Macaca fascicularis: one gene and its partners. The protein of the gene in region 7 purifies or fractionates together with the protein of the main gene of each other region. This does not show direct contact. Links are inferred from orthologs where the notes say so. Each region holds a gene or a part of one and is shown on either strand. Other genes may lie near its edges.

Region 1 (4,008 bases), on a different chromosome or scaffold from region 7:
TCTTTTTAAAAAACCAATTTCATCAGATGACTTTTCCAAAAAGCTCTCACTGAAGTCACTTAGCCTAGTGTGTCTTTCCAAATAGTTACTATTAAAAATAAAGGAACTGACAGAACTTCTGCCTCATATTTGAGACTTTTATAAGGACTCAAATATAAAGTAATACTCTTCTGAGAAGTGGTAATTTGAGATGGAGTTTTAATTTAGGCATATATGGTATATCAGCCTGGCCATTCTACGTTAAAACTTTAAAGAAAAAAAAATGCAGAAAACAGTTGTTCATCTTTTCTGTGAACTTCTTCCTATGCCTAGTAATACCATCAACTCTGAGGCATTCCAAGAAAGAACAATTTTCCAACTTACTCTCACTGCTTTCCAAATACATGCAATCAGTCATCATAGTTTTTTGTTTTTGTTTTTTTTTAAATAAAGACAGTATCTTATGTGTCTGTCCTATTTTTATTCTCTTCCTAATTCTTTCCCATTTGCAGCACTATCCCTGATCATTGATCTTTATCATTGTAGTTAAAGTTGCTTGTTCTTCTCACTGCTCCAAATCCCTTCTTGAATGGCTTCTTCTTATACTATACAACCAAAATTTTTACCTAGTTATATCCTAAAACTTTCTACCACTATCTCAAAAATCTAATGGACAATGCTAGTATGAAAAAGAAGCAAATTTGACATTTAAGCCTTAAAAATATTGAAGTGTGTTACTGCTAAGAGTACTTTAAGGGCAAATAGGAAACCTAATGGGTACTATCTAGAAATAGGATACATATTCCTTTTCTTTTCCATGCTTTTATTATTTATTTATTTATTTATTTATTTTGAGACGGAGTCTCACTCTGTCACCCAGGCTGGAGAGAAGCGGGACCATGTCAGCTCACTGCAACCTCCATCTCCTGGGTTCAGGCAATTCTCCTGCCTCAGCCTGCCGAGTAGCTGGGATTACAGGCGCCCACCACCACGCCCGGCTCATTTTTTAATATTTTTAGTAGAGACGGGGTTTCCCCGTGTTGGCCAGGCAGGTCTTGAACTCCTGACCTCAGGTGATCCACCCACCTCGGCCTCCCAAAACGTTGGGATTACAGGTGTAAACCACCGCGCCCGGCCTTCCATGCTTTTATAAAGTCTGAAATTATTATTAAATGGTGGTTATCGTCTATCAGTGCAACTAGTTTATCACTTTAGAAGACTTCTGGGGCCAGAGAAGGCAAAAAAAAAAAAAAAAAAAAAAAAAAATCATTATTAAAACAAAATTACAAGAATATGCAACAGAAATTAAATAACTTGAGTAATCTGCTTATCTATTTAAGTTCATGTTAGGCCTTAAAAAATTATATAATTACCTCATCTACAGCCAGAATAAAAAAAAGCCTTAAAAGAAACTATGCTGGTAAAAAGAAATAGCTCTAGAAAAACCGATACAACTTACAGACAGGAAAATTTCATAAGATACAATCTTAACGTTTTATTAATTCAAACACTAATAGCTGCTATATGTAAACAGCTGGAGAAGAAGCCAAACTAGAAGAAATGAGTATTTCATGCTGTTTAGAAAAATGAAATAAATATGAAAGCAGTGACATAATAAAATATTTACTATTTGATACCTCAAGCCTTTTAAGGGCAATATGAAGGAATTTCTAAAAATCGGTTTGCTTTATAACTTCAAAATAAAGTCCAAGACTCAATGACAGTGGTTGATAGAAGTCAATTCTGATCAAGTCAAAGATCACATGGTGGGAGGAAGTCTCCCAGACCTGGTCCATTACCAAGGCACAAAAGATTCAGTTTCTCCAGATGTCAGAGGGGAAAATGACTTGGCACTGCATCACAGACTTAAAATCCAATAGGGTTCCTTTAATGCAACACAGCACTGTGCGTCAAAGCATACCTTGGTGTAAGGGCAGTGAAACAGACACAAACACCACTATTTGTCTTTCATTTCCTGAATGCCTTATAAACATGCACAACAAAATGCTCCTGATCCCCATCAGAGAGGATGAAAACAACCCAGATATGCCCTTTCCACCTCCTCCCCTGGTATTGGTGCTTGCACCTCAGCACTGAGGCTTGGAGTTGTCTTCTCAAACCATCATTGTCCGGTGGGAAATTCACCGAGAAAGGAAACGTGGGAGAGGAAGTCTGTTACCAAAATAGAAATTAGTATTAAAGATACCGATCCTACTCTCCCTCCACTCTCTCACATAAGACAAAAATAAAAAAACCTCCGCAAACTTGCCCTACCATCGCGAAGATCATACAAGCTCCGATCAAATGTGCTTCTCGATCATCTTTTAGGCAAGAGAGCGCCTGGGGTGCGTTTTCGGCCCCTCATCTCCCAACCCCAGTCAAGCCAGGCCCCTGGGCTGACAGGAAGGGCTGGCCGGACGTTGGCTCGGACGGGAAAGACGGTTATTCTCGCCGAAGCCGCTCACACTAAGGGTGAAGTAACGTAGGGCCAGAGGTAACACGGCTTAGGCTGCGGGCAAGGCCTCCGAACTGACGGAAGATAGGCAGGACTCGGCAGCAAGGGAGGCGGTAGAAGCAGCCGGGCCTAGGCCGCACCAGGCCGCGGAGTGGCCCTACGCTGCTTCCCGACTGAGGCTGCAAGCCAAGCCTCAGAGAAGAGGGTTATCATTACCTGAACGGGTTCCTGCAGCACCGTCATCCTCGAGGCTTAGGCCCACTTTCTGCAGTGCCTCAGGCCCCCCCGGTAGCGGCTCCGGCCCGGCCAGCCCCGGCTCATTTAAACTCACCAGCGACCGTTACCGGGGAATGGGGGAGGCCGAGCGATTGCCGAGTGCTTCCGAGCGGGACACGGAAATTCCCGAAGTGGAGAAAGCCGAGCGGGAGCCAGACGGAAAAGCCCGAAAGGGGTCGGAAATACCCGAGGTGGGTCGACGAGAGAGAAAAATCGTTGCCGGAAATTGTCGAAGATTCCCGGAAACTACCGAGTCTAACCCAAAGCGTAGGTTTTCTTCTCAGCCACGCCTTCAGTCACGCACACCACGCCCAATCGGCCGTCCCAGGGCTGGGCCACGCCCAATCGGCAACCAGCAGGCTGGGCGTGGCGTGACTGAGCGGCCCGGGAGCGTTACGTGGCGGGGCTGCAGGGTGGATTCGCCACTCAGCCCTTCTGGGTTAATTGATGTGCTGTAGATTATAAAGCAAAGGGTGAAACAGCAGAGTTTGGGGCAGACTTTAATGAATCAACAAGTATTTGTCTATTGAGTTTAGATCATTCGTCCTTTCCAGAAGTATCTACTCACGGCTCTGGGGAAAGCTAAAGAAATTTGGAAAGATTGCCACTCCAAAGATATTAGGATAGCTTCTGTCCTCAAGGAGGTTAAGGTCTATTTAAGGGAAAAGCAGTGTAACAGAGAACGCTATATTATGTGGTGCCTATTATAAGTAATATAAAAATTCAGAGAGGGAAATTGTGTTAAGATGAGGAAAGTTTTATGGAAGGAAAAAAAAGTTTAAACTGGAGTTTGAAGGATGGGTAGAATCAGAGGAAAAATAAGTATAGGAAAGTGAAGGAAGGAAAAATGAGATCAGCCTGCTGAGAAGGCATTAATTGGAAATAGTTACTTAGGTGAAGAGATCATGGAAAAACTCAATAGGCCGTTAGAAATTTTTATTTTTGACAGGCGAGGCATTCCACTGTGGTGGGAAGAGTAGGGGGTAGGAAATTCAGAGGCCTGATTTTGAATTGTATCTTTAGCACTAACTAGTCATAGGTCCTTGGCAAATTACAACCTCTCTGAACTTGTGTTTGCTTAGTTTGAAAAAAAAGGATTAAGGGAATTTGATGTATTACAAGTGTGGCTGTGTCTAGCACGCAATGTAGACTCTCTTGTATTTCCTTTCTGCTCTTCCTCTCCTCCGAAGGAGAGTGAACTAGGGAACTGTTTAAATTTTGTTTTTCAGCAGAAGAGAAAAACGGTTTTTGAAGGTTACTCTTCTAGTCAGGAGTTCTCTAGGCTAGATGTGAGACTC
Region 2 (3,500 bases), on a different chromosome or scaffold from region 7:
CTTTACTTCCTTATCATCCTGCACAGCTGAGACCAAACTGAGGCATCCAATCTGTTTCATAACTCAAGAGCACTGTGTGTCTGCTTTAGCCTAAACCAGGAAAAGTGATGGGTCTTAAAACTGGCCGCTCAAGGCTAGACTAACTCAAGGACAAAGGGGTGAGAGAAGATGTGAGGAAATGAACACCCAGGAGTAGAGTGGTTTGGCCTCCACCTGAGGGGCTGTGTTAGCACAAGCATGAGCCAGAGATCAGGAAAGGTGGCACACACCGTCACCCAGGTCTGTCAGCCTTGCTGTTAGCTGGAGTTCTGAATGACAGAAGCTAAGGGCCCTTCCACTCTCCTTACTCTTGCTAGAAGAGAACCATCCTTGGCTTCTGCATCCTCTGTGCCTGGGGAAACAGTAAGCACATCCTCCCTTTGAGTCAGGCATCTGGCTTTTGCCACCTTTAAAGAGGGACTGTAACTTCACGGAAAAGTAACGTAGGGGATAAAGGATTCTCAGGTCATGTCTTACTAAAACAGGTATCATTTAAAATTTGACCTTCTTCATCGGCATGGGACTTGGCACACACTGCTGTTACTCTGGACCAAGTAGAAAAGTATTTTAGGGCCTTTTATTTCCCTATGGATTCTCCTTATAACTCCAGACATGTTATGCTTTCCCTAACCTTTATCTGTCCTGTGTCCTGAGGAATGAACCAGAACTCTGGAGGGAGGATCAAACACAGCTGCAGATACTGATAGTTCATCTTATCTCTGATCACAACCCCCTAGAGCTAGTAAAGAAACCAGAGGATTCACAAGTCTGATCAGAGATGTGATTGACTATAATCTTATTAACATCTGGCCTGTTTTATCCTGTATGTCCTATAGCACCCAGAATATATTTTGTGCTAGTAAATGTATTGGTGTTGATTAACTATTCTGGACTGATATTGCTGACATACAACTCTAAGAAATGGGAAGTTCAAGTCCTACTAAAAAACTATTCTTTCCAGCCTAGGTAAGAGAGAGAGACAGTTTTTTAAAAACTAGCTGGGTGGGGTGCCACACACGTGGTCCCAGCTACTCAGGAGACAGAGGCAGGAAGATCGCTTGAGCCCAGGAGGTTAAGACTGCAGTGAGCTGTGATCACGCCACTGCACTCCAGCCTGGGCAATTAGAGCAAGACCCTGTCTCAAAAAAAAAAAAAAATCATTCCCTATGAGTACATGCTTACAATGAAGTATGTAATTTTTGAATGATGAGAAATATTTTCCTCATTTCTGGAAATGAAAGTCCTTCCATGTTTGTAGATTTAACGTCTTACTTGCCTGTAAAGGAGTATATTTGACATTTACCAGAAAGATGATGGCAAATAACAGAGCTCTGGGAAGGAAATTATACAAAATACTGACCACCAAAATAACACAGTTGCTGATTATTAGGTTATAAGTTAATCGCTTCAAAACCTTACTGGATCTACTGCCAGCCAAGGCAGCAAGCAACCTGGAAGCAAGACACGTCCACCATGTCCAGCTAGACACGATGGGAAACCGTCTCATCAAACATGTCCAGCTAGACACGATGGGAAACCCTCTCATCAAATATGTCCAGCTAGACACGATGGGAAACCCTCTCATCAAACATGTCCAGCTAGACACAATGGGAAACCCTCTCATCAAACACGCTCTGTACAACTCAATGTTAAGCTGACTGGAAACAGTAGCTCCCATCTGTAATGCCAGCACTTTGGGAGGCTGAGGTGGGAGGATGGCTGGAGCCCAGGAGTTCAAGGCTTCCATGAGCTATGATCACACCAATGCACTCCAGCCTGGGTGACAGAGCAAGACCCTGTCTCAAAAAAAAAAAAAGCATCTTGGTGAAATCCTCTGTATTTACAGGACTTTGAGGCTTTTTTGTGTGGTTTGGAGGGGCAAAGCCAATTTCTTCTGACAATGAAACTCTTCCTGCTTTGCTTTCAGTGTGGGTAACAATGGTTTAAAACAGCAACAAAAACTGCCCACAAAATACCTCCTTCTTTTTACTGTCTATAAAAACCAAAAGACTTTACGTGAAATTTGTACACAGAAGTCACCCAGAGCCCATTTATTCACTACTGATGACTCTGGTTCCCTCTGGCAGGCCTCACTTTCAGTAGCTCCTCTTAAGAATGAGACTGAGGTTAAGATTTTTTTCAAGAACCTGTATTTGGTTTCTCTTTTCTTTTTGTTTCTCTCTCTCTCTCTCTCTCTCTCTCTCTCTCATATGCATGTGAGAGAGACTGAGTGTTGCTCTGTTGCCAAGGCTGGAGCGCAGTGGCGCAATCATGGCTCACTGCAGCCTTGACTTCCTGGACTCAAGCGATCCTCCCACCTCAGCCTCCTGAGTAGCTACAGACTACAGGCACGTGCCACCATGCCTGGCTAATTTTTTAATACTTTTTTAGAAACTGGGTTCTATGTTACCAAGGCTGGTTTCAAACTCCCAGTTTAAAGGGATCCTCCCACCTCGGCCTCCCAAAGTGTTGGGATTATAAGTGTGAATCACCACACCCAGCCCAATTTCTCACTATAAACTCAGCAGCAAAGTCAAGTAAAATGTGTAATGACCAACTTACAAGGTGGCACACACTGACTTATGGCAAAACTGTGTGCTTTACTGAAGTTAAAGTCTACTGATTTGTTATACATACAGACTAATAAGCAGTTAAATATCTTTCTTGCAGATAAAATACAATATTAAATTTGGAATGGTAAGAAGTATAATAGATACAATGTTTAAATATCTATTCATAATGTATGAGTTTTCTAAATAGTAGAAATCAACATTCTAGAGCACTGCTATTTAAAGGCAGCAGGTCATCAAACTATGACCAATCCATCACAAGATCTGGAGTCTATGCCAAAACGTAATCAACAGTGAGAAAGTCTAACCATGAATGAAATAACTGCACTTAACAGGGTGCTCAGTGACACAGGCTGATTGACACTCCAAGGCAATCTTACCATCTGGTCACTGACAGGTTAAATGTTTGCAGAAACACATGAATAGCCCAGTTTTAAAGTATGAAAGTGCTTGTTTAAGAGGAATGTATACATACAGATACAATCAGTTTTCACAAAACACTTAAAATATGTAAATACCTGTTCCTGCAGGTCGTAGTCATAGCTGTCATGCAGCAGAAGACTGAGGACATATCGAGTGTAAATCATGGCATCAATGCCACATTTCTCGAGCTCTTGTCCCAGCCAGGTCTGCACTGGACCCAAAGCATGAAGCAGAGACATTTCAGAAACAGACACAGGGCCTGGATAAGAACTTGAGGAGCTTTCAGATGGCAAACCATCCACAACAACTGTACAGATAGGGTACATGAATTTAGGTTGCCGACATCCTTAAAATGTGAAGCATTTTCTGCAGTTGATATTCTGTTGGTATCTGGAGGGGATTTTCACTCCAGTAAAAAGGAGAGATGCTTGACATGTAGGATAAGCATTTATTTTTGCTGGTAGTCAG
Region 3 (3,500 bases), on a different chromosome or scaffold from region 7:
GATCATTTGAGCCCGGAAGTTTGAGACCAGTTAGGGCAACACAGGGAGACCTTGTCTCTACAAAAAATAAAAAATTAGCCAGGTATGATGGCACACACTTGTGATCCCAGCTACACAGGAGGCTGAAATGGGAGGATGGCTTGAGCCCAGGAGTTTGAGGCTGCAGTGAGCCATGATCTTGCCACTGCACTCCAGCCTAGGGAACAGTGTAAGACCCTGTCTCAAAAAAAAGGTGAGGGGGCAGGTGCAGTCACTCGCACCTGTAATCTCAGTGCTTTGTGAGGCCAAGGCAGTAGGACTCCTGGAGGCTAGGGTCAAGGCTAACCTGGCCAACCTAGCAGGACCCCATCTTTATAAAAAATAGAAAAAAATTAGTTGGGCATGGTGGTACATGCCTGTGGTCCCAGCTACTTTGGAGGCTGAGGTGGGAGGATGGCTTGAGCCCAGAAGTTCGAGGCTGCAGTGAGCTACTGTTGCACTACTACATTCCAGTCTGAGCGACAGGGTGAGACCCTTTCACCAAAAAAATTTGTTTAATAAATTAAAAAAAAAAACAGTTTTTATTAATGTCATCCATAACATTCGTGTTGTGTTAACAAAAACAATTCCAACTATATGTTTGGCAAATGGGTCCTCCAATCTATTTCTAGCATAGTCCCTTTTTTTCCTTATATAGCAGAGCTCCCCTACCCCCAGGCTGAGGACTGGTACCAGTGCATGGCCTGTAACAGGGAACCAGACCACACAGCAGGTTAGCGGTGGTAGTGAGCATTACTGCCTGAGCTCCATCTCTTGTCAGCTCAGCCATGGCATTAGATTCTCATAGGAGTGCAAACTCCTGTGAACTGCGCATGCACCAGATGTAGGTTGCATGCCCCTTATAAGAGACTGACTAATGCCTGATAATCTGAGGTGGAATAGTTTCATCCCAAAACCATCACCCTCTCCCCAATCTGTAGAAAAATTGTCTTCCACGAAATGGGTCCCTGGTGCCCAAAAGGTTGGGGACCACTGTTATACAGTATCTTAATTCTAAATTAGAAGCTCATCATTTGGTCGGGCACGTTGGCTCACGACTGTAATCCCAGCACTTTGGGAGGCTGAGGCCGGCAGATCACCTGAAATCAGGAGTTTGAGACCAGCCTGGCCAACATGGTGAAACCCCATCTCTCCTAAAAATACAAAAAATTAGCTGGGCATGGTGGCAGGTGCCTGTAATCCTAGCTATTTGGAAGGCTGAGGCAGGAGAATCGCTTGAACCCAGGAGGCGGAGGTTACTGTGAGCCGAGATTGCACCACTGCACTCCAGCCTGGGTGACAGAGCGAGACTCTGTCCCAAAAAAAATAAATAAGTTCATCATTTTGGGCTGGGCAGGGTGGTTTACGCCAGTAATCCCAGCACTTTGGGAGGCCAAGGCGAGCGGATCACCCGAGGTCAGGAGTTCAAGACCAGCCTGGCCAACATGGGGAAACCCCGTCTCTACTAAAAATACAAAAATTAGCCGGGCATGGTGGCAGGCACCTGTAATCCCAGCTGTTCGGGAGGCTGAGGCAGGAGAATCGCTTGAACCCGGGAGGTTGCAGTGAGCCAAGATCACGCCATCGTACTCCAGCCTGGGGGACAAGAGCGAGACTTCGTCTCCAAAAAAAAAGAAGTTCATCATTTTATGCAGAGATTATATAGTAAATTCCTAACTGGTCTTCCTGCCTCTTGATTTTTCTCCAGTAGATCCTGTATTCTTCTGCCAGATTAATCCTCATAAAATGCCATTTATATCACCTCGGTGACACACCCTGGTTGCTTATCAGGCCGAGTTCTAATGCCTCATACTGGCATTTAGTTCTCTGCGTATCTCTCCTGAGATAACAAACTGTATTTATTCTACCTCTGCTTTGTTTAAAGCTGTTTTTACCTTGTGATTGTTCCCATAAATTGTCTACTCTTTGTCTTTAAACTAGGCCATCCTGCTGTTCTAAGAACTTATATTGTCTGTAATTTTGGTATTATTCTGAAGTGTTGCCTTATTTGTTAACTGATTCTTGGATCTCTCTTATTTCATCAAGTGAAATATAAACTCTGTAGGCAGAGTGCCTGTAGGCAGGTCCAGAGTCTGATTCGTTTTTTCACTCCCTTCTCCATACTCGACAGTGTAAGATAAGACTAGGCGCTTAGTACATATTTATAGGTCGCTGAGTCACCCATACTGTTTTCAATCATAGGATATTAGTATGATTCTCTTGATGATGGATATCAGCCCAGGTGATACTGTTTTGGAAGCTGGCTCAGGCTCTGGTGGAATGAGCTTATTTTTATCCAAAGCAGGTAAGAGATTGGATTGAGCTGGATCTCGGTAACAAAGAAAACGTTCAATTTGTTCATAATAACAGAAAGTTATGAGGATATTTGGGAAAATACCTAACATTGAGGTAGCATTCTCCTAGAATCTGAATGTGAGCACCTATTTTTCTTTCCATTTTGTACATTTATTCCAGTCAGTCTCTTTCTGATCCTCCCTCCATTTTCTTTGCTTTGTCTTTTTCCTTCATGCTCTCTAATGCTGCTGCTTTTTTCTTAAGTATACGTTTTATTGGAATATAACATAGCTACAGACAAGTGTGCAGATCGCAAGTGTATACCTCAGCGAATCTTTGTATAGTGACCACTTGTACTTATTACCCAGATCAAGGTAAGGAGTGTCTCTGCCCCACAGATGCCTCCTCATGTCCCCTCCCAGTCCTTATCATCACCAAAGGAAACCACTATTGTGACTTTTATCACCACTGATTAGTTTTGCCTCCTTTGAACTTATATAAATGGAATCATACAGTATGTACTCCTTTGTATCTGGCTACTCTTGTTCATCATTATGTTTGTGAGATTCACTCATTGCATACAGCAGTAGTTCTTTCATTTTAGTTGCTGTATAGTACTCTCTTCACAATTTACCCATTTACTGTTGATAGACATTTGAGTTGGATATTATAAATAGTGCTGCTCGGAACCTCCTTGTGTACTTGTCATGTTATTGTTGAATAATAGTGCCAGATGAATACTTAGCCTGAGGGAATATGGAAGGAGGTTGTCAGCTGCTGGGGGGAGAGTTAGACATCGTTAGGACCAAAGAATTATAGTAGGTGTTCATAAAGAAATTAATCATAGTACAGAGCTGTTAAGTAAAAAGCTACATTATGAAGAATTATCTCTTTTTTTTCCCGAAAGTCTCTAAAAATTGTCAGTTGATAAAAGTACTGCTTGAAGGTGGGTGTCTGATCAAAAATCAAGAGGTGTATATTAAACATATATTTTTTCATGTTCCTACCACTTAATTTCTGGTTACTTTTATGCTAGTTGATTAGTACCCCTTTGCCTACCTAATTTCTCTGAGTGTCAGGGTTGTTTTGGGTGGTCTGACTGTCTGTACAGTGTTCTCTTCCCTACATAATGATAAACTGTTGAATAGTCACAGTACTTTCTTTGAGTAGATTTTATAAAGATTACA
Region 4 (3,500 bases), on a different chromosome or scaffold from region 7:
CTGTCTCTAAGAAAGAAAGAAAGAAAAAAAAAAAAAAAAAAAAAAAAGGCCGGGCGCAGTGGCTCATAATCCCAGCACTTTGGGAGGCTAAGGTGGGCAGATCACTTGAGGTCAGGAGTTTGAGCCCAGCCTGGCCAACATGGTGAAACCCTGTCTCTACTAAAAATACAAAAACTAGCTAGGGGTGATAGCACCCACTTGTAATCCCAGCTACTCGGGAGGCTGAGGCAGGAGAATCGCTTGAACCTGGGAGGCAGAGGTTGCAGTGAGCTAAGATTGCGCCCTGCACTCCAGTCTAGGGTACAGAGCGAGACTCCGTCTTCAAAAAAACCAAAAAGTTAACTTAACTTTGTTATGTTAACTAACTGTAAGGTGATAATGACATGCCATCTATAAACTCATCCAATTCTGAGGAGTCTCCACAACTAGAATCTGGAACTACAAAATAAGGTGAGGTTCTTGAGCTAACCCCAGCCGCCTCATGCAGCATTAAGGCCAGGCTGCACTGAGGGTCTTTGCCTCCGTGACAGGGGCTGTAAGTCAGTGCCCCTCGGCAGTATAGAGCCACCAATGCTCTCTTTGTCACCCCCGCTCACCGAGGACATGAAGTGCGGGAATCTCTGGCCTGCCTAGGGCTGCCAGAGTTCTACCAGCAGTGAGAGTGGCTCCCTAAATAAGCACGTGACTTGTATAGGATCCTAGGGTACTGTCATCCGGTAGTCAATGGGCAACACAGGAACAAAATCATCTATGAAACTGTAAAACTGTTACGTACAGTTTATGCACTAGATGGCTCCGCAGGTCCTGAGTGACATGTTCGTGCCAGCCTTTCCTTACACCAGTGCTGGAAGGAGGAGCTGCTGTTGGTATAGTGCTGAGGGTTCCAATGTTACCAGAGTTGGAGCCATCGTTCATCAGTGGGCTATGGAGGAAATAAGGACACTTCATCCATCTACTGAAGCGACTCAAACATACTTTGTCTAATAAGGTTCTTCTACCACCACATGTGACTTCTAAAAGTTTAAGTCAGGAGAGCCAAGTAATGTATATAAATAAAACTTAAACTATGTTTAATCTATTATCTGCTCTACACTTACAATTAAAGAAAAAAAGGAAAACAGCATTCACCCCTCACCACCCCATTTAAACTATTTTCTCTGCCACACATTTAGAAAGAATCAGTTTTGTGTGGTTCTCAGTCCACGTTCTTGTTGGACTGTCACTCAGAACTGAAACAGGGTCTTACTTTGTGGCCCCCAAGGAAGTCGGAAGAGCTGATTCTGAAATCAAGTTTGGGGGCTGCTGATCTGTTGTTATTCCTCCTGCTGGAATGTTCATTGGATTATTTCCTTTAAAGACAGAAAGAAATCAATCAACTCTTAAATTTTAATATATACTTCAAAGTTTTGATGACAGATAACCAACATGTCATCACATAAACAATTGGTGATTATTTAAATAAGTGATTCTGGTCAGTTATAATAAGCACTGAGGCAGGAACCCCGAGTGTCATATTTTCAATAATGGTAATCAACGTGCACAAATAATCAGTAGACACCTCCCCACTCTACTTGGTAACCAAAGTAAGGTGTGTTTATGGAGATTAGCTGGTATCTAAGTGAAAAAGTTATAAATGATCCATATGCAGCCTCTGACTTTCATTCTGCTTCATTAGTATCACTTCTGAGTGACTCAGCTGCACTGACATATACCTCTGTGTCTCTACCCCCAATATCAGAAAATAAAATCATAGAAATTAAGCTCAGGAAAAAAATACAGAGGTCAATTTGTCTACAATCTTCATATTAAAGTAAAGGAAGGCCGAGATTAATAAAGGTTAAGTTTGTCCTAAATTATACCATCAACAGGAGAGGAGTTAGATTAAGACTTGGGTCTCAGGACTCTAACCCAGTCTCCTGGCCACTATTAGTTAGACATTCACTGGGGCAGTTGTTTTCCAAAAAGCAACAAATAAGATGACTTTAGCTGGGCATATTTTAAGGAATAATTGTTAACCGTAAAATACTTTATTAGGAAAAGAACAAAACTAGCACAGCCAGCCAGCCAGTCTGGACTTCACAGACATCACTGCTTAGCTTAAGCCTAGATGTAAAGGGACTGTGTCCACTTAAAGAAAAATATTAAGGAAACCATATGCAGAAATGGCAAAAATCATGGGTATGTGTGAGCAAATGACCAAAGGTGGGCAAATAATGGGCTGGGGTGACAAAAGAAATGCTGACATGTCCAGCAGCCTGGGAAAAGAGTTTCCAGGGCTCCTGTCATTAACCTGCCGAAGTCCAGGCTGGTCACTTCCAACTGTGGGGTAGACCCTAACCAAGATGTGTGAGGAAGTGGCAAACGCAAGTTCTCCATCAAATAAATGACAACAGTCAGCACGAGGGGTCCAGTCAGCATCCTGACTTGTGAGATCTGCATTCTGAGCCACATGGCACATTCTTTATGAAAACTGTCCAGAGAGAAGTGGCACAGCAAGCAACAAAAACATTGCTTCATTTGCAAATGCTGCTCTTTTTATAAGCATATAACATTTTCCTTGCATTAGACACTTCAGCTTTTTACTGGGAGATTTTTATTTCAACCACTGTAGTAAAAAACACAAAACAAACTGAAAACTGCCTTGGGTTCCATCACTCCATTCCCTTTGCTATATTTGGACAAGTAAGAATGAAGTTGAGAGTTTCTTCACCTACCCAGGGGGTTGAGAGTCCTCATCTGCTGGTGGGTTTGAGGCTGTGCTGGTTGCTGGCCAGGAACCTGAGGCTGCAGCTGCGTCTGGGGCTGGTTCATGTAGGGGAGTCCGAGAGCAGCATAGGCTCGCTGCATGGAGCTGGGGTCTATGGGATTTGGGTTACTTAAAGAAGTGGCATTCTGTTGCCCTGTGCCAACAGAACCAATTGTGTTTTGAATTCCACTAGCTGGAGACCCCAGGATGGCTATAACGACAAACAGACAGACAAACGAGAAAGGTAAGTAAAAGGGAGAAGCCCACAAATGATTTAAAAAACTACTGAGAAGCAAATACATTTCATCAAAATACTACACATGAATATCATAAAGCAGTAAAACAAGGCTAGGGAGAAAGGAACTGTGCTGAAGGACTCATGTATTCTGCCTAGCAGTAAGTGAGGAACAAAAAGTGAAAGAAAAGTGAAGTTTCTATCTTAGCAGGCAACAGATCATAAAATTTCACAGATAACACCTGAAAAAAATCAGTATGTTTTAAAACCTAGAGACTCCTCAAGAGGTCAGTTCCAGGGAGTGGCAAATGTATGACAAGGGAAACGTCTGATTCTCTGGTGGGCAGCAGACACCTTGAGATGAACAGAGGAGCACCCTCCTGCTGTTAACCCCAACCCTGTCCTTCACTGCTCACCTGCACAGGTACAGAGGGCTTAAGAGAAGGAGCAGAGATGATACCTCGTTGGTCAGTTTTGATTAATAAATCTATGATGTGCTCTTCTAAATCACATAATTGC
Region 5 (4,137 bases), on a different chromosome or scaffold from region 7:
GAGACTCCGTCTCAAAAAAAAAAAAAAAAAAAAAAAAAAAGATGCAAAACCATATTATTCTATGAAATAGGAATGGAGACTATAAAGAGAGATTAAGTTGAGATAAAGACAGAGGTGGAATGGAAGTTGGCTGAAAGAAAATAAAATCAAACAAGCAGAATCAAATGTCTTATTGGAGAAAATAAACAGTACTCTTGACTCTGATGAAAATCAAATCCGTAATGGTGAAGAAAAACTTGATATAGTCTCCCAGGGTGCAGAGAAAACAGATTTATTTGACATTGGTGATCCAATGTGATAGTTTTAGAGGACAGGAAAGAAAAAACCCAAATCTTTTCACAGAATGGACAGGAAGAAAACTTTTCTAAGCTGCAAAGAAGACCTCTTTTGTTTCTGGAAAATTAATAGATAAGGCCCATATTGATTTATACTGGCAAAATGTTTGACTTCTGAGGGTAAAGAAAAACCCTTGCAAGCACCAAGCAAACTGCTGACCTTAAACAGACAAACCCAGCTTTGCATTTTCAGTGCCAGAAGACAATGAAATAAAGACAAGAGTTTTGAGGGGGAAAGCTTGAGACTCAAGAATCCTATAAATAGGAAATCACTGTAAAGGCATTCTCACCTAGGGCAAAGGCTTAGGAATACAACATTCCAGAGTCCCCCCTGAAATCGCCAGTCATGTGAGAGATAGGTCCAAATGAGGAATAGAAAAATTAGAATACAAAAAACCGGCAGTGACATTGAAACCAATTAAATAGAGTTGGCAAAAGCCAAAAACAAGGATTGAAAAAGAATGTGGCTTAAAAAAAAAGTGTAAACAAAAGCTAGGTCTGTTGTCCTGATTAAGTGGACAAATATAAGTAGTGAGGGCGGCAGGTAGGAGGCAGAAAAGCACATTACATTTCTTATGACATAAAGGGGAATATAAAAACGAATTATTTGTCACTGACTTTACTAATTTGTGAAATGTAAACTATTTTCATTTGATTAAAGGCAGTCGCGAGAAGAATTAAAAACACTTTCTGCCTTGAAAATCACGATAGAAAATAAAAGCAAATGTGGGAAAATTCAGAAAACAGGAATAAATAAAAACTAGAGAATACAAAGTCGTAAGACCAAACACGACACCTATAAACAGCAGAGACGTAATGCGTTAAATCCCAGCCACAGTAGAGACTGCAGTTCTTAGGACAGACCCTGGTGCCTCCAGGCCTTTGCTAGTGCTAAACTCTCGGCCAGGCTTGTTTCCCCACCCTATTCAAGGCTGAGGCCTCAATTCAAGGCCGACTTTCTCCTCCCGGCAGTCCTCCCGGGCCGCCCTAGGCTGAGTGAGCACTCCCCACAGTGAACGCTGCCGGCGCGGGCGAGGCCGGTGCTCTAGGTCCGGGACAAAGTCCCCACCTCACTCCCTCTCACCCCGGATTGCAGCGTGTGGTCTGGGGCCACGCGTTACGCCAGGCGCGGGACAGGGTGAAAGCGTTCAATCCTGCTGGGGTATAATGTGCATTTTTTCCCCGTCGCACCTTCCAGACGGTGATCCAGTGTGAGCAGCAAGTTTCAAATCGTCTCCGTTTGATCACGAACGGAGTTTACTGCCCTTCGACGCCTCCCGCACGACAGCCCGTGGTCCTCGCGCCCGGGCGGGTCGTTTCTCGGCCGGGTGGATCCACCCGCGACGATTCGTCCCGACCCCACCTAGCGGACTTGCAAGGTCCAAAGGCGTCCGCTGGGAGGCCGCGTCCGGAAGAGCTGGCGCGGGAGAGGAATGGGGCTCGGGGCTCGGAGTCGGGAGCCCCTTCACCCAAGCAAGAGGAGCTCCTCCCCCTCTTCCTAGACGTGGGATTCAGCGAGGGCGCGGTTCCATTGGATTTGTTGCAGACGAACGACTGGGCCTAAACCCAAGCCCAAGGGCCTGGGGGGTAACGAGCGATGACCGGAGGGGATTGTGGCTGTCTTGCTGCGCCCTAGAGAGGGTGAGGCGGAGGGGTCCCACGCGCGGGCGGGGCGCAGCGACGAAGGGGTTAAGGCGCCTCGCCCCGCCCCAGCCCGGGCATTGGCTGTCCCGGGGGGCGTGGCCGGAGGGCGGGCTCGCGTTTGCCGCAGCCGCTGGTGGGCGGGGCTCGGGCGGGGAGCAGGAGGGGCGCGGAGCGGAGCCGGGCCCGCGCCGCGCGTCCCGCCGGGCGTGCTTCGGGCTGCGCCAGCGAGCCGGGCCGGTGGCGCCCGTGTCGGAGACCCCGCGCCGGACCCTGAGGCAGCGAGTAAGTGAGGCAGGCCCATCGTGGCATCCCTCCCGGCTCCGACCTGCCGCCGTGCCTGCTGCACTGCGCGGCATGTCAGACCTGACCGGGACTGGGTAGGGGGCGCGTCCCGCTGCTGGGGTCCCAATGGGGAGGGGAGCGGAGAGGAGGCGGATGATGTCATGGATGCTTCGCCCGGCCTGGGAGGAGGTGGCGGCCAGAGGGGGTGCGGCTCGGATTATGTCACCTCTTCCCTCTGCGCCCCGCCCCCCGGGGCCACACGCGTTGGTGGGGAGCCTGGGGAGGTGCGGGCGGGATTTCCCCCATCGCAGGGACTCCTAGGTCCTGTGGCCTGTGGCTGGGGTCTCTATCAGTTGGCTCTGCGGGCCATGGGCTGCTGGTGAATGGCGACCCCCCCACCCCCAGCAGAAGCTCGTGTTTGCGCGCGTGTGTGTGCTCGGGGTGGAGGGGGCGCTCTCGGCCCCCTCAGTCCTCAGTCCGGAAACACCGGCTTCATCAGAGCCAGTAGCTAGGTGATGGGCCCATTCCGCCGCCAGTGCTTAGGCCACCGAGGGAAGATGGATCTCCCCTTACTCATCCCAACCAAGAAGTTCTGGATATCTCTGCACCCCAAAAGCCCTGCAGTGCCCCCAGATCCCTTTCCTCCCTCCGTCCTGCTTCCTGGAAACCCCTTCTGCTCCCCCTGCCCAGATTCACTGCCTCTTTGCATGGCCCATAACTAGCATTCCCACAGGCATTTGCCCTGCATTTCTTTGGTGCAGGGCCCAGAGATCCCTAGGACTCTGCCATCTGTGCCCCTGGGAAACCTACAGGCCAGACATGGGGATGCCTCAGAGTGAAATCTCCCTGGAGTGACCTGAGCCAAGGGCTCCAAGACGCCCCCTCGGGTGGGTAGAGATCAGGGATGCTGTCCTGAGGCCAGCCTTTGGACTGGTCTAGAAGCATGTAGGATGGTCACAGAGAGCTGGCAAGAGCTTGTGTGTGAAGTAGAGAGGGGCTCAGGTCAGGGGAGATAGAGGAGGGGCATCAGGAGGGGCCTTGGGGACCCTGCTGCAAGCTCTACTCTTGTTCTGGGGACCAAGAGGAATACCAGGCGTTTCACCCATTATACATTTACTTCTTAAAATGCCTGCAAGGTAAGTGTGAGAACTCGAGGTGAAATTACCTGCATGAGGTTGCACTGCTAATCAGTCCAGCTGGGATTTACACTTGGAGCTGATGCTGCCAGAACTCTGTCTACTGCACTTGATCCTGCTCGTGGAAGGATCTGGACAGAGCAGGGGCAAGATCAGCTTTGCCCTTTAGAAGGAGTTCCCTGGCAGCTGCCTGGGGGAGGGAGTGCAGGAGAAGAAAGTCCATTGAGGAGCCCCCAGCAGGGGTGCTGGATGGAGGGGCTGGCTAGAGATTTTTAGGAGATAGAATGGTCTGGGGTTGGGGCCTCTGAGACACCAAGTGTTCCTAGCTTTGGGAGAGACACAGGTTGGGGAGTGGGTTGGAGGTACCTATACATGTAACTCTTAGGTAGAGTCCGTTTGGCACCTTCATGACGCTAATACTGTGTATAATGCCCCAGGCACTGAGGGCTGAGGTGACAGAGATCGAGGCAGTTGGACAACAGGCTGTCATCCCAGGGTGGTGCACTGATGCCAGGAGGCTGCCTTTGCAGACCATGCTCAGTTACCTGGGCCAGTTCAGGACCTTTCCTCTTGGTTCAGTTCCTGCTTATCAGGGAAACATCCTCTTCCTTGTCCTGCCAGTGCCCTACTGGGATTTTGTGGAAAGAAGCTGCAGCAGTCAAAGCTTGGGAGAGACAAGGGGCAGGGCATGTTTGCAAGGGGTTAACCATGACAGGTTAAAATTACGACAAGAAGCTCTT
Region 6 (3,500 bases), on a different chromosome or scaffold from region 7:
GCTTGGGCCTGCATCCTTTTCATCCTGGGAGCTCACATGAGGCCTGGCTATGCTAGAGAGACAGACTTCGGCCCCCAAAGGACTGAGGAGGGTGGGATTTTGCCCCTGCAGAAGGACAGGAGAGGCTGGCTCCTTGCCAGATATGGGATCAAAGCTGCCTGCCCACTCACTGGTGACCTCTATCTGGGCTTCTGCCCCGGCCTCCCCCAGGTACTCGGTCACCCCAGCTATCACCCTATTCATGTGCAAAGAGCTAGTGTCCTTGCCCATCCCTTTCTCAGGATCCCCAGTGAACTGACCCTCTGTACCCAGAACCACAGGGCCGTCACATCCTGAGCCCTCTGCCCATGGAAGCCACACATCTCCCATAGTGGCTACCACAGAACGGGCCCCGGAGAGGATTTCCGGAGGCGATTCCTTGGGGCTGTCCCCTTCTGGGCTGGAGGGTATGACAGAGAGCCCCTCTTCACCCTCCCCCTCATCATCAGGGTCTTCAGTGTCCTTGATGAGCTCCACGCCACGCCCCAGCCGGGCATAGTGCAGTGTGATCTCCTCAGCCAGGGCGCTGTTTAGGGCCCGCTCAGGGCCAGGCCACTTCAAGATCAGGTCGCGGTCCGTCAGTATGCCCAGGGGATGGCTGGGGGATATCCCTCCATCTGTGGAACCCTCCCCACCACCCCCTGCCCCACCCGCAGCCACAGCAGCCCGTAGGCGGCTCAGATGAGACAGGTAGAGCTGCTCCAGCTCCTGGTCAATGGTGTCCTCACCGAGCAGCTCCTCTGACCCACTCATGGCCTCCAGCCCCCCTCCACTCTCACTCGATACTCCCCATGTGGCCTCTGCCTGCTGCTGGCTGGGCTCCAGGAAAGGCCCGGTGGCCCCCTCGCTCGCATCGGGCCCTGAGGCCTGGTCTCTGGGGGAGCCACCCAGGCCACAGAGAGGGGAGGAGGGGGGAATCCTGATGGCCGGTGCCTGAAGGACTTCTGTAAAAGCCACAGGAGGACTGCTTCTGGGGACGTCACCTTCTTCTGCAGGGTTGCCAGTCATCGGAACATCAGAAACCTGGAGCCATGGCCGGGGCGAGGGGGCAGAGAAAAAGCAAGGGAATGAAGCAGAGGAGGGGATGGAACAAGCAGAGACAGTAAGAAGTGTGACAGCCCACAGCCAGCCCCACAGGGGTTTCTATATAAAAACACCTTAAAGCACCCTCTGTCACTGTCTAGACTCCAAAGACTGTCATCTATGGTAAAATAACACAATTAGATGCAGTAAAACGGGGCTTCTTGCAGATTATAAAGCTGAGGAATTCGGTGGGTGTGAATATTTGGTGAATGATAATCACTAAACACTGTTGGCTTACCTTTAAAACAGAGCCAGTTAAAATAACTAAAAGTATAAGTAGCCAGGCACAGTGGCTCTCATCTGTAATCCAAGCACTTTAGGAAGCCAAGGGGGGCAGATCACATGAAGCTAGGAGTTCGAGACCAGCCTGGCCAATATGGTGAAACCCCCTCTCTACCAAAAATATAAAAATTTAGCTGGGCATGGTGTTGCGCACCTGTAATCCCAGCTACTCAAGAGGCTGAGGCAGGAGAATCACTTGAACCCAGAAGGCAGAGGTTGCAGTGAGCCAAGACTGTGCCACTGCACTCCAGCCCGGGCAACAGAGAGAGACTCTGTCTCAAAAAAAAAAAAAAAAAAAAAAGAGTGTAAGTGGATTGTTTGTAACACAAAGGATAAATGCTTGAGGAGATGCATACCTCCTTCTCCATGATGTGATTATTACGCATTGCATACCTGTATCCAAACACCTCCATAAACATATACACTATGTCCCCTCGAAAATTAAAAATTTATACATTTTTAAAAATTAAAATGCAAAAAAAATTCCCAAAACACAGTCGGGATGTCCATATGAACCCATGATGTATCATCTTCTCTTTTAAAAAAAATTATTTCCTAGCTCCATCTTTTGAAAAGGCCTAGAAACAATGACCAATCTAGTAGCAGCAAGAATGCTGAGCCCCCAAATCTTGGCCTTTGAATGCCACTCTCCACTGAAAGGAACCAGTGCTCCTTAAAGAAATAGCTGCTTCTGGCCAGGTGCGGTAGCTCACGCCTGTAATCCTAGCACTTTGGGAGGCCAAGGTGGGTGGATCACCAGGAAGGTAAGGAGTTCGAGACCAGCCTGACCAACATGGTGAAACCCTGTCTCTACTAAAAATACAAAATTCAGCCAGGTGTGGTGGCATGTGCCTGTAATCCCAGCTACTCAAGAGGCCGAGACAGGAGAATCGCTTGAACCCAGAAGGCAGAGGTTGCAGTGAGCTGAGATTGTGCCACTGCACTCCAGCCTGGGAAACAGAGAAAAACTCTGACTCAAAAAAAAAAAAAAAAAAAAAGAAAGAAAAAGAAAGAAAGAGAAAGAAAAGAAAGAAAAAGAAAGTACAAGAAAGAAAGAGAGAGAGAAAGAAAGGAAAGGAAAGGAAGGCAAGAAAATAAAGAAAAAGAAAAAGAAAAGAAAGAAAAGAAAAGAAAAGAAAGAAGTAAATGGCTGTTTCCAGGCTTGGGGCAGGGAGAGTACAGGATGAGCCTAGCACATATTGTCATGGAAGATGTGAGAAAGGCTCACAGAATGATGAGGACGTGTCAAAAGGACAGAGGAGCCCATCTCAATAAGCTCCTACTAGCCAGGGGTAGTTCATTTTAAGCATCAAAAAAACACACAAATAAGTGCAATGGATTAAAACTCATCAAATATGTTTAGAATTCATGAGTTCATAATGACACAAAACCAAAAATCCTTTTATTCGTCACCTTTGGAGTAGTACTTCTCTGAAAACTGGTAAATAAAATGGAAAAAATTAAATATTTACACTGCTTTTTCTGCACAAACTATATCTCAAAGTAGCCAAATAGCTGGTGTGGGACAGTTTTTCTTTAAAGAAGAATTCTAGCTAATAAAGGAAGTGGGAATAGTAGAATTAAATAGAGTTAATTCTAGTTAATTTAATAATAAAAGATTAAATACATTCATTTAATACAATTTGATAAATTAAATTTAATAAGATTACATTAATAGAATTAATAAATTAATAAAAATGGAGTAAGAAACGTATTTCCACCTGGATGTAATCAGCCAGACCCAGACTGGAAAATTCTACAGGACAAGCAAAGTTTCTTCAACCAACAAATTGCAAAGAAACAAAGTGGGGGAGATTTTTAAAATCTAAAGAGACACATCAATCAAATGCAACATGTCAACCTTGTTTGGATCCTAAAACACTTATGAGAGAAGGAAACTTGAACACTGACCAAATACTTGATGATACTAAGGAATTACCGTCTATTTTCTGAGGTGTGATGATAGTATTATGGGGTTAAGAATTCTTAATTTTCTGGCCAGGCGTGATGGCTCACACCTGTAATCCCAGCACTTTGGGAGGTCAAGGCAATGGATCCTGTCTCTACTAAAAATATAAAAATTAGCCGGATGTGCT
Region 7 (4,124 bases):
ATGCCTTCTATTCCCACACGTTTCTAATCTCAAGATTCTGCCCTACTCCGATGATCTTCTGGGTTGATTTGAACTGAAGACAAGGACACATATCTTGAGACACTGTCATATTCTGTTCCGGTTACCTAAGAAGATTAACTACGCAAGTTTCTTCCATTACCAGGAATAAAACTTTGAGTCAAATTTAATTTAGTACTAAAGGTTGCAAATGCTGACGTGCTCTGATAGAAGCGAAAGCTTGGTTAACGGGGTGGGATGGGGTGGGGGCAGGAAAGAGAGACCCGGGAGCAGAGAGGAAGGAGTTGGTTGTATAGGTGGAAGTTTGAGCTTGGGAGGAACCAGGTAGCGACCTCTCCTCTGAATAAGGGGCGCTCTGGGCCACTTCCTCTTTCTTCAAAACAATTAAGTTGACCGTGGACTTTAATCACATTAGCAGGGCAATTTTGAAACAATAATCCGAAAGAACTTTTGCCCGTTACGGCAACTTTTTTTTTATATTATGGAGATCAGTCTGAAAGCAAGCTATTTGCCCGATTACTTTTTGACCAATTTATTTTCGGTTTAGTCAGGTTTCTTTCCAAGTCTGTGCTAATCTGAATGGCTACCTTAGTAATTACTTTTTGACCAGTTTATTTTCGGTTTAGTCGGATTTCTTTCAGTCTGTGCTAATCTGAATGGTTACCTTAGTACATCAATGTCCTAGTAACTGTAGCAAGGACATTTTTGCTGGAAATCATTTAAAGCAGGTGTCTTTGAGTCATGTAGCATACACAGCGGTATTTACTGCTAGTTTTTTACACCTAATATCGTTTATAAAATTTTATCTGTTGCTACTATATTTGTGAGGTTTATGAAAAAAATTGGTTATGAACACTATCACAAGGAGGCAAAATCAAGCTTAGAAATCAATTAGTGACTCTGCTGTAAAATAGTACACACACACACTTTTTTAAGCTATACATTTATTAAATGCCATTAGAGCTGGTACAAAATACAATTTTTAGCTGGTGGCTCTATGCCGGTTACAACGCAGCCAGCATGGCATACTTGGGTTTTCAAGCCTCAGGAGCTCACCCAGCAATACATAGGCAGGCAGAAGGGGTAGACAGAATAAAAATCAGCGAAAGCCAGGATATTAATAAAGAGTTTTGATGGTTAAGGACAAGTAGGCAAATTAAGACGCTGGAAACCGAGGAGCTGCACAGAAAAGAAAACCAGGGAGCTGGACGACAAGGACACAGTAACAGCACAAGGGGATTTATCTAAGGGGCATTCCGATGGAGCAGGCAGGCTGCGCCCAGAAAGGTGGGGAGGGGTTGGAAGCAGATGGGCAGGGACGGGCGAGCGTGCACAGCCTGAAAAAGTTTTCATGATGGCTCCAGCCTAATTTCCCAACGCTGGTCTCGGGCGCCACAAAACCCGAGCGGCCCGACCGGAGCCGGGTGCCAGCCTCAGGGCCGCCGGGGCCCGGCGCAGCGTCCGGAATTCCTGCGATGTCTGGGGCCCGGCGGCGGCTCCTCCCCGCCCCCACCGCGGCCTCCGCCGGCATTTTCCGGCGAGGAGGCCCGCGAGCCCTTCGAAGAACCGGCTCCACGCGCGGCCGGCCGCGGCCGGCGCGCTTCCCGGGGAGAAAGGCGAGCGCGGCGTCCGGACCGCGGTGAGAGCCCTCCAGGCCCGGGCGTGCGGGGTGGGCTTCCCGGGTCCCTGCCCGAAGGCCGCGGCGCCCCGACCCTCCCCCTCCCCCGCCCCCGCCCGGGGCAGCCCTCCCCTCCCCCCGGCGCGGGCGGGGCTGCGGGCGCCAACGCGGAAGCGCGGGGCGCTAGGGCTGCGGGGGCGGCGGCGCGGGAGGCCGCGCGCGCTCCCCGGGCCGCAGTCGGCGCGGGCGCGGGGCGGGGCGAGGCGGCCGGGAGGCGGCGGGCGCTCGCGCACAGGCCTGGCCGCCGCCTCGCCCCCCCTTCCCCAGTCCCTACCCTCTCTCGGCCTAGCCGTCCCCCTCCTCTCCCCTCCCCCGGGCGAATCACGCGCCCTCCTCTGACACTCGTAGCGGGCCCGAGCTCCGAATTTATCCTTCACGTGACCTGAGGGGGTTGGGTGGTTGGCTGGGGACGGAGGGGGAGACGGAAAGGAGGGAACGGAATCTGCCGTTACCTGAGCAACAGGCCCCGCCCGCCGGATCGGGGCCGGGGGGCGGGAGGAGGACGTCAGCACGTCAGCCGGGGTTTTGCGTTTTGATTGACAGTTGCTATAGCGACCGGGTCGGTCCGTCGCCATTTTGTTGGTTGGTTTTTTTTTAAACCCTTTCGCTTCCCGCCCGAATAATAATAAAAAGCCCCATTGGAGTGAGGCGGGGGTGGCGGCGGCAACCGCGGCGGGGGTATCCGGGGAGACTGCTGCCGTCGCTGCTGCTGATCGCGGCCCAGGTCGGGCTCAGAGAGCGGACACCCCGAGCGGGGGGTGCGGGCGCCGCCGCCGCCGCTTCTGCTGCTGCTGTTCCTGCTGCTGCTGTTGGTGCCGCTGCCGCCGCCGGCGAGCGGGCGGGACCGGTGTGAGTGCGAGTGTGTGCGAGGGAGCGTGTGCGAGGGCGAGTGTGCGCGCGAGTGTGCGGGTGTGTGCGAGTGTCTGTCTGTCTGTGCGGGGACTCGGGGGCGGGCGGTTCGGGCTCTCCTGGCGGAGGAGCCGCCGCCGCCGCCCGGGCCCCGGCGCTTCTCGCTGCGCAGGTTCGGAGCGCGCGCCATTTTGTGAGATTTACAAAATCCTCCTCGGGAAGAAGCCGCCGGCAGCAGCCGCCGCTCGGCGCCCGGCCTCGCCGCCGCCGCCCTCTGTGCCGGGCCGGGCCGCGCGGCCCCGCCGCCGGGAATCGGGGCCCGGGGACTGCGGTATTTGCCGGGGAGGGGGCTGTCGCCTCCCCGGCCCCGGGCGCCGCTGGAACCGCGAGCCGAGGAGAGACTGAGCAGGCTGCGGCGCGGCCAGGAGCCGGAGCGCCGGGGGCGGAGAGAGGCGGCCGGGGCGGCGCTGGCTGCGGAGGCCGCGGCGGGAGCGGGAGCGCGGCGCGGGAGCCCGAGGCTGAGACTCACCGGAGGAAGCGGCGCGAGCGCCCCGCCATCGTCCCGGTGAGTGTCCGGCCCGGCCGCGGCCCCGCCCGGCTCGGCGCTCGGCTACCCCGGCGGCCCGCAGCCGGGCCCGAGCCGAGGCCGGCCGGGCGGAGGGAGGGACCTGCCATTTTAGGAGGAGGCGCCGCGGGCCCTGGGCCGGCCGCCGGGGGAGGGAGCCTCAGGCCCGGTCCCAAAGGAGCGGCGGGCGCGAGCGGAGGGAAAGTTGCGGAGGGTGGGAGCGGGGGCCGCGGCCTCCCGGGAGCCGGGGCCTGGGGGGCCGTAGACAGCGCCAGACCTTCACTGGCCGCCCGAGCGAAGGGGTGGAGGTTGTCTTCCTCCTCCTCTTCCTCCTCATCTTCTTCCCCCAGCTCCTCCCTCGTCCCTCCTCTCGGTCCCCACCAGTGTGGGAACCGCCGGGGTGCTTCGCAAGGACAATGCACGGGTTAAGAAAATGGGGCCGGCTGGGCGAGGACGGCGGGGCCGGGCCGGGCGCCGGGGAAGGTCGGGAGCCGCTGCCTCGGCGGCCCTGGGGGTCCGCGCCTGAGCGAGGGGCACTCACTGGTCTCCGATGTTGGGCGGGGAGCGCGAGTGTCCCCGGCGGCTCGGGGTGGAGGGATGACCTGCCCGGCAGCCGGGGGAGTTGGTGGCTGAGGAGAGGTGAATTAGAATGGATACCTGTGTATCGCCACAAAACTTCACGAGTCTATTTATAGGCACAAACCCACTCTCGCTTCGGAGCCACTGAAGCTGCTGAGCAGTTCAGCTCTTGGCCAAAGGCTCCTCCCTAATCTGAAATAGTTAAAAATGGTAAAATTAGTGAGTCAGTGACTTCGGTTCCTTGCCTGTGCCTTTAGCCCAACCCTAGGTGACACGAATCCCGTAATCTAGGCGCAGCGCAGGAATGCCAGCACCATTTGGTTCTTGAATTCCTCCCAAATTGTCAGAAAATACGCCTTAGAATATGGTTTTCACAAGTGCCAGGCGCTGTTCTCAGGGTTTTCCGTGGAGCGACCAGCTTGCCCAGCCGGTAGG

The links.
Region 1: the proteins of DYRK1A (region 7) and CDC27 purify together in Homo sapiens (affinity purification with mass spectrometry; 3 studies listed by BioGRID and IntAct, with this or other methods). This does not show direct contact. The link is inferred for Macaca fascicularis from reciprocal best matches to the Homo sapiens genes DYRK1A and CDC27.
Region 2: the proteins of DYRK1A (region 7) and KIAA0232 purify together in Homo sapiens (affinity purification with mass spectrometry; 3 studies listed by BioGRID and IntAct, with this or other methods). This does not show direct contact. The link is inferred for Macaca fascicularis from reciprocal best matches to the Homo sapiens genes DYRK1A and KIAA0232.
Region 3: the proteins of DYRK1A (region 7) and TRMT61B purify together in Homo sapiens (affinity purification with mass spectrometry, with the first as the bait; 3 studies listed by BioGRID). This does not show direct contact. The link is inferred for Macaca fascicularis from reciprocal best matches to the Homo sapiens genes DYRK1A and TRMT61B.
Region 4: the proteins of DYRK1A (region 7) and CREBBP purify together in Homo sapiens (affinity purification with mass spectrometry; 4 studies listed by BioGRID and IntAct, with this or other methods). This does not show direct contact. The link is inferred for Macaca fascicularis from reciprocal best matches to the Homo sapiens genes DYRK1A and CREBBP.
Region 5: the proteins of DYRK1A (region 7) and LZTS3 purify together in Homo sapiens (affinity purification with mass spectrometry; 3 studies listed by BioGRID and IntAct, with this or other methods). This does not show direct contact. The link is inferred for Macaca fascicularis from reciprocal best matches to the Homo sapiens genes DYRK1A and LZTS3.
Region 6: the proteins of DYRK1A (region 7) and PPP1R3F purify together in Homo sapiens (affinity purification with mass spectrometry; 3 studies listed by BioGRID and IntAct, with this or other methods). This does not show direct contact. The link is inferred for Macaca fascicularis from reciprocal best matches to the Homo sapiens genes DYRK1A and PPP1R3F.

Annotation. Positions count from the first base shown.
Region 1 is NC_088390.1:68,162,520-68,166,527, forward strand, and holds the start of CDC27 (cell division cycle protein 27 homolog), read right to left. Parts: upstream 2,801-4,008; 5' UTR 2,678-2,800; coding exon 2,651-2,677; exon of another isoform or gene 2,424-2,650; intron 1-2,423. UniProt on the Homo sapiens protein: Component of the anaphase promoting complex/cyclosome (APC/C), a cell cycle-regulated E3 ubiquitin ligase that controls progression through mitosis and the G1 phase of the cell cycle.
Region 2 is NC_088379.1:6,264,474-6,267,973, forward strand, and holds part of KIAA0232 (uncharacterized protein KIAA0232 homolog), read right to left. Parts: 5' UTR 3,359-3,500; coding exon 3,128-3,358; intron 1-3,127.
Region 3 is NC_088387.1:93,353,674-93,357,173, forward strand, and holds part of TRMT61B (tRNA (adenine(58)-N(1))-methyltransferase, mitochondrial), read left to right. Parts: intron 1-2,220; coding exon 2,221-2,323; intron 2,324-3,500.
Region 4 is NC_088394.1:4,561,963-4,565,462, forward strand, and holds part of CREBBP (CREB-binding protein), read right to left. Parts: intron 2,958-3,500; coding exon 2,715-2,957; intron 1,350-2,714; coding exon 1,247-1,349; intron 923-1,246; coding exon 776-922; intron 1-775. UniProt on the Homo sapiens protein: Acetylates histones, giving a specific tag for transcriptional activation. Mediates acetylation of histone H3 at 'Lys-18' and 'Lys-27' (H3K18ac and H3K27ac, respectively).
Region 5 is NC_088384.1:84,134,897-84,139,033, forward strand, and holds the start of LZTS3 (leucine zipper putative tumor suppressor 3), read left to right. Parts: upstream 1-1,337; 5' UTR 1,338-1,976; intron 1,977-2,102; exon of another isoform or gene 2,103-2,261; intron 2,262-3,022; exon of another isoform or gene 3,023-3,148; intron 3,149-4,137. UniProt on the Homo sapiens protein: May be involved in promoting the maturation of dendritic spines, probably via regulating SIPA1L1 levels at the postsynaptic density of synapses.
Region 6 is NC_088395.1:49,441,474-49,444,973, reverse strand, and holds part of PPP1R3F (protein phosphatase 1 regulatory subunit 3F), read right to left. Parts: intron 3,181-3,500; coding exon of another isoform or gene 3,126-3,180; intron 2,375-3,125; coding exon of another isoform or gene 2,273-2,374; exon of another isoform or gene 1,834-2,272; intron 1,063-1,833; coding exon 1-1,062.
Region 7 is NC_088377.1:9,632,439-9,636,562, reverse strand, and holds the start of DYRK1A (dual specificity tyrosine-phosphorylation-regulated kinase 1A), read left to right. Parts: upstream 1-1,324; 5' UTR 1,325-1,657; intron 1,658-2,249; exon of another isoform or gene 2,250-2,278; intron 2,279-2,504; exon of another isoform or gene 2,505-3,110; intron 3,111-4,124. UniProt on the Homo sapiens protein: Dual-specificity kinase which possesses both serine/threonine and tyrosine kinase activities. Exhibits a substrate preference for proline at position P+1 and arginine at position P-3.